Linked DNA regions of Mus musculus: region 2 is reported to be linked to region 1. Evidence: microRNA targets listed by miRTarBase, many of them from high-throughput screens and not tested one by one. Region 1 holds a microRNA gene; the other region holds the end of a gene's coding sequence.
The links. The annotated mature microRNA mmu-miR-324-3p reads CCACUGCCCCAGGUGCUGCU and lies in region 1 at 1,413-1,432, shown strand. An mRNA with a match to its seed (bases 2 to 7 or 8) in the 3' UTR can be bound and repressed. Matches are read on the target gene's strand: a 7mer-m8 pairs with bases 2 to 8, a 7mer-A1 pairs with bases 2 to 7 and ends in A, and an 8mer does both.

Region 2: the mRNA of Psd3 is a reported target of mmu-miR-324-3p. Seed matches in the 3' UTR shown: 8mer at 1,806-1,813.

What each region holds. Positions count from the first base shown.
Region 1 is chr11:70,010,683-70,015,242 of GRCm38, forward strand. Mir324 (microRNA 324) reads left to right here and starts at 1,361; the gene lies at 1,361-1,449. It overlaps Acadvl (acyl-Coenzyme A dehydrogenase, very long chain), which reads right to left. Exons shown (of 20, transcript NM_017366.3): 2 at 4,435-4,513; 3 at 4,111-4,176; 4 at 3,949-4,021; 5 at 3,797-3,861; 6 at 3,563-3,697; 7 at 2,752-2,896; 8 at 2,490-2,619; 9 at 2,276-2,401; 10 at 1,766-1,964; 11 at 1,504-1,608; 12 at 1,002-1,088; 13 at 854-916; 14 at 663-764; 15 at 486-583; 3 more.
Region 2 is chr8:67,693,424-67,697,423 of GRCm38, forward strand. Psd3 (pleckstrin and Sec7 domain containing 3) reads right to left here. Exons shown (of 16, transcript NM_177698.4): 16 at 1-3,764. The coding sequence ends at 3,549. Among named protein-coding and RNA genes, the nearest start is that of Gm32888, 170 kb to the right of the region's middle.

The DNA of each region.
Region 1 (4,560 bases):
TCGCTGCCGCCTTACCTGGACAGAACCACCACCATGGCATAGAGGTCAATGGCGCCGTCCGCCAGTCGCTGCAGCAGGAACTGCTCGTCTGTCAGGTAGATGAGGGTGGGGCTGTTAGTCGGAGGGAGGGAATCAGGGAGGGAAGGGGGTTGCAGAGCTCACTCACTGACAATCCCTTTCTTGTGTTTCACCAGCTTGGCCTCCACCACGGTGGCAAATTGATCCAGAGCCTGCACTGCCTGAAGAGACAAGAGTCACAGACAGAGCTCAGGAGAGGAAGGCAGCGCACAGCCACCGCAGGCTCTGCTTTAAGGCTCACTCACCAGTTCACCACTGCGACTTAACTCTGGGTGGACAATCCCTGACAGACTCAAACCACTGCCGATTCCTGTCCTCCTGAGAGGAGATGGAAGAGTGACTGGTCAGTTGCGGCCTCCCATCTTGTTTGACCCTGACTCTGACCCTGGCCCCGGCCCATGAGGTACCGTCTCAGCTGTTTGCCTGCTTCTCCCATCAGGAGGCCAACGTTTCCAAAAGGATTCTTCAGGGCATTGCCCAGCCCAGTGAGTTCCTTTCCTTTGTCCTGTGGAGAGAAGGGGGACGGCGACAGTGAGGACTCAGTGTCCTCCCCAGCTGCTCTCTCTCATCCTCCTTCCTCTTACCATACAGCCTTGCAGAGCCACAAACAGTCGAAGAATGTCATTTGCCCCTTCAAAGATCCGGAAGATTCGAATATCTCGGAGCACACGCTCCACCCCTGGTTCCTGGCACGCAGGAAGACACAGAAACCTCTGTTGAGATGTGCCTGTCCACTCTGAACAGATGCCCCCCCCTGCCGAGGAATACTCTGTACCTTCATGAAGCCCATGCCCCCCATTATTTGGATGCACTCATCTGCCACTTTCCAGGCCGCCTCCTGAGGACAGAGAACCAGATGAGTTGGATTTTTGAGCTGAGGTCCTAATCTGGACTCCGCCCTCCCATCACACCTGGGTCCTCACCGAGCAAAAGATTTTGCTGATGGCGGCTTCTATCTGGAAGTCTTTGAATCCCTGGTCCATGTTGGCACTCAGCATGTAAGCCATGGACTAAGGGAGCATGGTCGGGACATGGGGAAGACAACAGGGAAGGGCTGCATCAGACAGAATGGCTAATGCTCAGACCTTCAAGACCAGTGCTGATCTACTCCTCCAACCCTTGAATTCACTTTAGCCTCCTGGTCAGGTCAAATATGTCCAATATGTGACCCTCTGGTATATCAGGGGCTTCGAGGCTTCCGACTTTGTAAAGGGGTGGGTTAAAAGTCGTGTTTGGTGCATCTGGGCAGCATTTAGCAGAGCAGCACCACCCTCCAGAAGAGAACTGACTATGCCTCCTCGCATCCCCTAGGGCATTGGTGTAAAGCTGGAGACCCACTGCCCCAGGTGCTGCTGGGGGTTGTAGTCTGACCCAACTGTGAAGAAAGCCATAGGGCTCCAGGGAAGGGGCCCAGGAGGCCCTTACCTCAGTCACATACTGCAGAATAGCCATCCGAGCCAGCTTTTCCTGGATCACCCCAAAGTTGTGAATTTTGTCCCCAAACTGGGTACGATTAGTAGCATGATCAACCTGCAAGAGGGCGCATGTTACCCCACTGTGGTTCTTCAGTTTCCACCTGGACGGGCTGGAGGCCTAACTGTGCCGATGGTCGAGTGTGCATGTGTGTGTGTCGGCGCTCTGAGGCAGTCAGGGACATGTGCTAGCTAGGGACTGGGCTGGGACTCACCGCCTTGGCAATGAGGGATTTCATGGTGCCTGCGAGGGTTGCAGCCATCCCGAATCTTCCGTTGTTGAGGATGTTGACAGCAACCTTGAAGCCATCTCCCACCTCTCCTAGCACATTCTCTGATGGCACCTTCACTCCATCAAAGTACACCTCTGACGTGTTAGATGCTTTGATGCCCATCTTCTTTTCAGGGAGCCCACTGAAAAGGCAGGGCAGGAAAGTTGAGGTATGAACAGGTTGCTGTGGGGGAAAACGGCCTTTTCGGGTCTCATGATCAGGGGAGAACTCCCCAGACTATAAAAAGGATACAGGGCACTGCCTATGTGCCCCAGGGGCTACGGATATCTAGCTATGGCCTGTTAGCCTGTGTTCCCCCAGTGGAAACAAAACTGCTCACCTCCTGTGGGTGCCTCTTGTACAGAGATAGCCCCAGCGTGGCCTGTATTGACTATTTGCTCTTGAGAGCCCAGTGCTGTCCCCATCCTTGATTCTGTTTTGCCCCATACTCACTGGGTAACCCCTCCGAAGCTCCTTTCCACTACAAAAGCTGTGATCTTCTCTTTCACGGCCCCCGTGGCTGCATCTTTAATTGGCGTCTTGGCAAAGACAGTGAAAATGTCAGCCAGGCCCCCATTACTGTGGAAGAGTGAGGTGGTTAGTATAGGGTTTAGAGCAGCAGGGTCAGGCCACTGGGCTGAAGGGTAGAAGAGAAACGGAAGATTGCCTGATCCAGATCTTGCTCCCATTGAGAGTGTAATATTTTCCACAGGGGCTGGGTATGGCTGAGCTTCGGATGGAGGCTACATCGGATCCACTCGAGGGCTCTGTTAGGCAGAAAGCAGCCAAAGCCTGCCCTGTGGGGGAGAGAACGGGCTCACTGGGGATCCTGACCACCAGAGTTGCACCCCCTCATCCCCAGGCAGTTCCTTGTAACACCGTGAGCAGTGTCACACTCCTTACCCCTGGGTCTCTTAAGGTTGCCTTACCAGATGCCACTCTGGGAAGGTATTTTTCTCTCTGGGCCTTTGTGCCATAGAGCAAGATGCCTTTGAAACCGATGCTCTGATGAGCTCCCAGGGTAACGCTAACACCAAGGTCATGCATGCCCACAATCTCTGCCAAGCGAGCATACTGGAGGGAAAGGAGGCATCTGGGATTGTAGCTGGCTGCACTGAACTTGTCCTCAACAAGAATGGGCAGCAGGGCAGACCTGGCCTGGGGCTTGGAGCATCTCTACTCTGAGCATGGGGAGTGGAGTGGGTTTGGACAGGGCACAGGGAGGCTGGCCATGGGGCTCCCAGGTAGGCTGCTTCTCTAGCATGAAACCCTGGAGTCTTTCCTAAGGAGACAGGAGCAGGAACATCAAAGGGCTTAGATAATCCCCCCCCCCCCTTTTGAGGCAGTTTCATTTTGTAGCTCCAGCTAGCCTGAAACTTTGTGGGTTTCCCTGACTGTCCTGAAACTCCCTCTGTAGACCATGCTGGCCTTGAACTCGAGATCCGCCCGCCTCTGCCTCCATCCTCCATGCTGGGATTAAAGATGAGTGCCACTGTGCCCAGCTGCCCTTGGTCTTGATGGGAAGGTTGCCTGCTGTGTTGCCTCACACAGTCCCCAAAGACCTGGGAACCACAGTTAGGTCCACGGTCCTAGTGGGCTGCACACAGATCATGTTTCAGGGGAAAATGTGTGAGAAAAAGGGCAGGCAGGTAGACACTACTCTGGCTACTTGCTTGGCCCTAGTGGTGAGTCTACCAAAACTGGAGCACTGTGGAATGTTAACCAGGGGGATCCTCTCACCTGGGTATTAGAGAGGCCCAAACCACCCAGCTCGCTGGGTACTTGCAGGCCAAATGCCCCCAGTTCCTTGAGTCCCTGCAAAGTGTCGTCCTCCACCTTCTCCAAGGCGTCGTTCTTGGCAGGGTCATTCACTTCCTGAGCAAGGAATAGGAAGAATCTCATATTCAGAGGCTCCTTTAAGCTCCTTAGCATCTTACTTAGCCCAGGAGGGGCTGAGCTCTGGTCATCCCTTACCTCAAAGAACCGGGCCACTGGTCCCACCAGCTCTTTGAGAAATTGTGCCTGTTCTTCACTGAGCACTGTATAATGGGAGAGAAGAGCAGGCTAGTCAGGCAGAGAGGGCTCCCCTGCCCACACTGTCAGTGACTGACTAAGCCTTTACTTACCAGATGGGTATGGGAACACCTGATCAATGGTAAGCTGGCCTTTGAACATCCCCACAGCAAAGGACTTCGATTCCTAGGCAAGGAAGGAAAGGATCTTAGGTGGGTGCCTGGGGTGATTCTACTCCTGGTTTTTAAGTGTCAGTCCAGTTTCCAGTCACTTACTGCCCTGGCTGGTTTTTCTCTGGTGGAAGCATCAGAGGAGAGGGTTTCTGGCTTGTCCAGAACTGCCTGGAGGGAAGGGCAGAGCAGTTAGGCTGGAGATGGGTCTTAAAAGGTGTGCAGGAAGCGCTAGCTCTAGGAAGTGCGTTTGGTGCATGTTCCATTACTTTCTCACTAGGGCACCCTGGCGTGCCCTTTCCCCTACTTTCAGTGACAGAACTGCCACCAGGTGACTGGGTCGAAGAGAGAGACCCCTGTCGGTCGCAGGCTAGTGGGAACTGGCAACTCGCATTTCTACGTCCGTCTCCCTCATCCACTGTCACTTACCTGAGTGGCCTCCCTGGCATAAAGTCGCTGGGCAGAGATAGGCCGGGGTTGTCCCTGAAGCACAGTAGTAGATCGCGAGCTGTAAGGAGTCGGGGTTCAGTTCTGCCCTGGTTCCCAGACCCAGTG
Region 2 (4,000 bases), not on the chromosome of region 1:
ATATCTTGTATCCATAATAGCTAAGCCACAAATACTTAGGTGTTCAGAACTAACAAACTTAATGCCAAGCAAGGTTGAACTGATGATTAATAGAAAAAAAAAGCCAAAGAATTAAATTTCCATGTTCAGCTAACTTCCTCTAAGGTCTCTCTTATTTGGAAAGACAATGGAAAATTGACTTCTAATAAAAAAGACAGATGATGAGTATTTCAGGACGGTCTTTTCTTATTTCAGAGCATGGTCCTTCATCCTTGTTCTTTACATGATAAAGGGGCAGAAGGCGAAGAAGAACCTTTGTACCTTCCTGCTCTCAACTTCCCAAGGAGATTAGAACACAACCCTAGCTGGGCCTTGAAAACCAGTAAGTTTTCCTCTTTCAGAACCAATTCCCTTACACTACATTTGCCTTGGAAATAGTCCTTACCTTCAGGATGAGGGGAAAAAACAGAGGGGCACAGAGCACCTTACACACTATACAAGATCGTTGCATGAGAAAATGGCTCTATCTAAGCACAATTTTAAAAAGTTACATATAACCTATAAGCTATTTCAACCAGAGGAGTCTTCTACATGCTGGTTTCCTTTGGAATAATGGAAACATAAATAAGTAACAGTTGACTTAATTAGGCATTACTAAGAGTTAGATAAATTATATAGACTTTTAGAAAAACATTTTCAGAAATGCTAACGATATACCAATAAAACAAGGACTCTAAGTAGAATTTTTAAAACTGGGTTCCTGGTAAATCTTTTTAGAAGCTAGCATGTGGGGGTAGGGGTGAAGCCCAAGATACACACAGATTTTATACAAGGGGTACTTCAATGGTCAGTTTTTCAACAAGACTATCATCAAAGTCTTTTGATGTCTTGTTCATATTTTCAATACTAAGAACCATCCTTTAAGGTATTAATGTAAGATAAATAATGCTTTATCATATGGAGAGGAATTCCAAGACTCCAGGGCACCGAGGTAGGGATGACAGTAGGTATAGGAGGGACAGGATGAAGTACCATGGAAAGGAAAGGGACAAGAGCTCCCGGTACCGTGTACTGGGCAACAGGCTTAGCAGAGCTGTTCAATGGACCACCTTCCATTTCTTAGGAATCAATACTGTGGGAGAAATGGGGCTGACTATGGGCCAGACTCTTAGAGTCCCATCAGATCTGAGAATGCAGCATCCTTCCAGAGGCCTCAGGGAAGACACATTTTTAGCCTATCCCCAAAGGTAGACAGCATTACACTAGGGCAGGCTGGGATTCTGACTCACAAAAGACTGCTTCAGTTATTTTTCAAGATAAATGATGTAGACAGAGTAGTCCACAGCTTTAAAAGTGCCTTTGTGATCTGATTATCTATAAGCATGTCCAGAAGCTCTAGAGCCAACACTAGTGAGTCCTGTAACAGGAACAGTGGCAGAGCTAATGCTAAGGGTAGTCCTAGACAATTCTCCATGTCAGAAACTCTGCAGCAAGGTACCATTCAATGTATATTAGATACTCTACATAAGTACACACAAACATTCTATACATATAGCACACACTGTGGACAAACACATTTAGACATGTTAACTGTTCAGCTACTGATGCTCTAAGATGATGCTCAAGACTCCAAGGTCTTGGTACCTTTCCCTTCAGGGATTACAAATACTTAGGCAAAAAGCAGACAGTGATAGTTCACCTTCTAGAAGAAAGGCAACTTGCTTGGGGAATATTGGATTCACTAGGATGCTATGAAATAGTTCAGGTATATGGAGCCACAATGTTAACTATCATATTCGCTTCATGGTTCTGAGATATAAATTAAATCACTGCCTTTACTTAAACAAGATAGAAGTTTAGGGAAGTTTTTCCAATAGTGTGGCAAAATACCATGAAGCAAGCAGCTACCGTATTGGAGAGAAGTGTTACTATTCCGGGGCACAAGCAAGGTGGGCATGTACAGAGGTGAAAGAAGTACAGGCTAACACACAGTCCTGTGACTAAATGCTAGTACATCCTAACGAGATGTCTCTATAAACTACCGGGATTTTTTAACAGGCTTACTCTAACTTACTAGAATCATGCTATTCATGCAAGAGCAGCTGATTCTCTGGTCATAGTACCTTCAACTAACCAAGTCGAAATAGAGGAAATATTTAAGGAGAATAAAGAATATCTAAATGTCATCCTGTTAGTTTTTGAAGATATTTTGATGGGAAGATAGTAGTTTTAGAGAATACAGTTTCAAGGCTGGAAACTGGACAGTTTTCAGCCACAGAGGAAGTTCACCTTTTACGCCTTTTTCTTCCTCTACAGACAATACTCTACTTAATACTTTAAATTGTAAAGGGACTGCTTTGACTGTAAAGTGAAACCATTTTGAATGCAGGAAAAAAATAAGATTAAATGTATACAAGTAATTCCAGGAGCAATCTTAATAGTGGCATAGCAAGACCGCTGTAGAGGTGGAGATGAGAATAAGCTAAGACGCTGCTCATACATCAGACCCCTCCATCCTCGGTCACTGTGATCAGACTGATTTCATAGCCCGTCTGATGGCCTGATCTTGATGAAGAACTGCATCTGTGTTGCTCCTTATTTGTCTTGATATAGAAAAGAAAGAGAAGAGTATGTGTGGGGGAAGGTGGTATTCATTTCCAACATTGTTTTGTTTCAACCAGGACATGATCTATGCCTGTACATCTATGTTAAATGAATCTATTCCTGGATGGAAAGGTATCAATCACAGAGATGATTTTGATTCCTAGTCTAGATTCCATGGGAGTGAGGTAACATTTCTATAGAAGACCATACATCCTACTGCTACAGTTCCAAAGAGCTGATTACTGCCACCAGCCTTTAGAAAACAAAAGTGGCTCGGGATCAAGCCATCCTCAGGCTCCCTTCAAGCAAGATGACTCCACTTCTGAATTCCCTTGCATGGCTGGAATGGAATGCACACCTGAGACAAACTCCTGTGCCTCCCTAAGGTCTCCAGTCCTGTCATCCTCGTGCTCCCTTTTGTCCTGTGTCCAGCACCAACAACAGGTGCCAGGAAGAACGCAGAAGTGTCCTATCTTGGGACACCTCGACTCCCAGCGCTGCCATTTTCATGTGAGCAACTATGAACTTTCAACTTCACCTCCGTGACTGGGCAGGATTTCACATGTAAAGTCTAGGATTTACTAAAAGCACAATGCTTGTCCAGTTATGGGTTTCACAATGGATTAAAAATTTAAACCTAAAAAAAAATACAACAACTGATTGGTAATACACAAAATAACTGTATAGAAGTGCAAATAAGAGAAAGCCGAAGAGAAAGGATCTGTAGCCCTCCTCCTCCTCCTCACAAAAGGTGCATTAGTTATAAAGTTGTCCAAATCATCAAAGCAAAGGAACTCAAGAGCAAAGACACCTGTACAGAAACTAACAAAAATATATAATAGAAAAGGTTACTAATGCACCGTTTAGTCACAGACTGTTTTTTAAATATATTCACGGATTACCAGAAAGATCTTGAAAAACCCTATTTTGTTCCATGACCAGCACCTCCTGGCCGCGGATGGATTCTAAGTAACTTTTTGCTTAATGCCCGGTGTTTCAGGTCGGTGGTCTTTTCTCTCTGACACGTTGCGCTTGACCTTGGCAGTGACTGGAGATGCATCTGGGTTGAGGGAGGGACTTGAGTGTGACTTCTTCAGTCCCACGGGCTCATTTCCATCGGTAGTCAGGAGCTCTTTGCCTCCTTCTTTCAGAACGCTGACATAAATCTCATAACGGGTTTTCTAAAGGCAAAATCAGAGAAGTGTGGTCAGTACAGTTTACAATTACATGTGTGTAGCACACCTAGCATGTTCTTACACATGACATCATACGTTTTTGAATATTTGACTTTATCCCAAGCTGACAAAATACTTCTGTACCCATAACTGTGAAACGATGACTGCCTCATTTATTCAAGTAAGAAACTAACCTACAATTTCCATTAGTATTTATTCTAGATTCGGAAGGAATACCAACG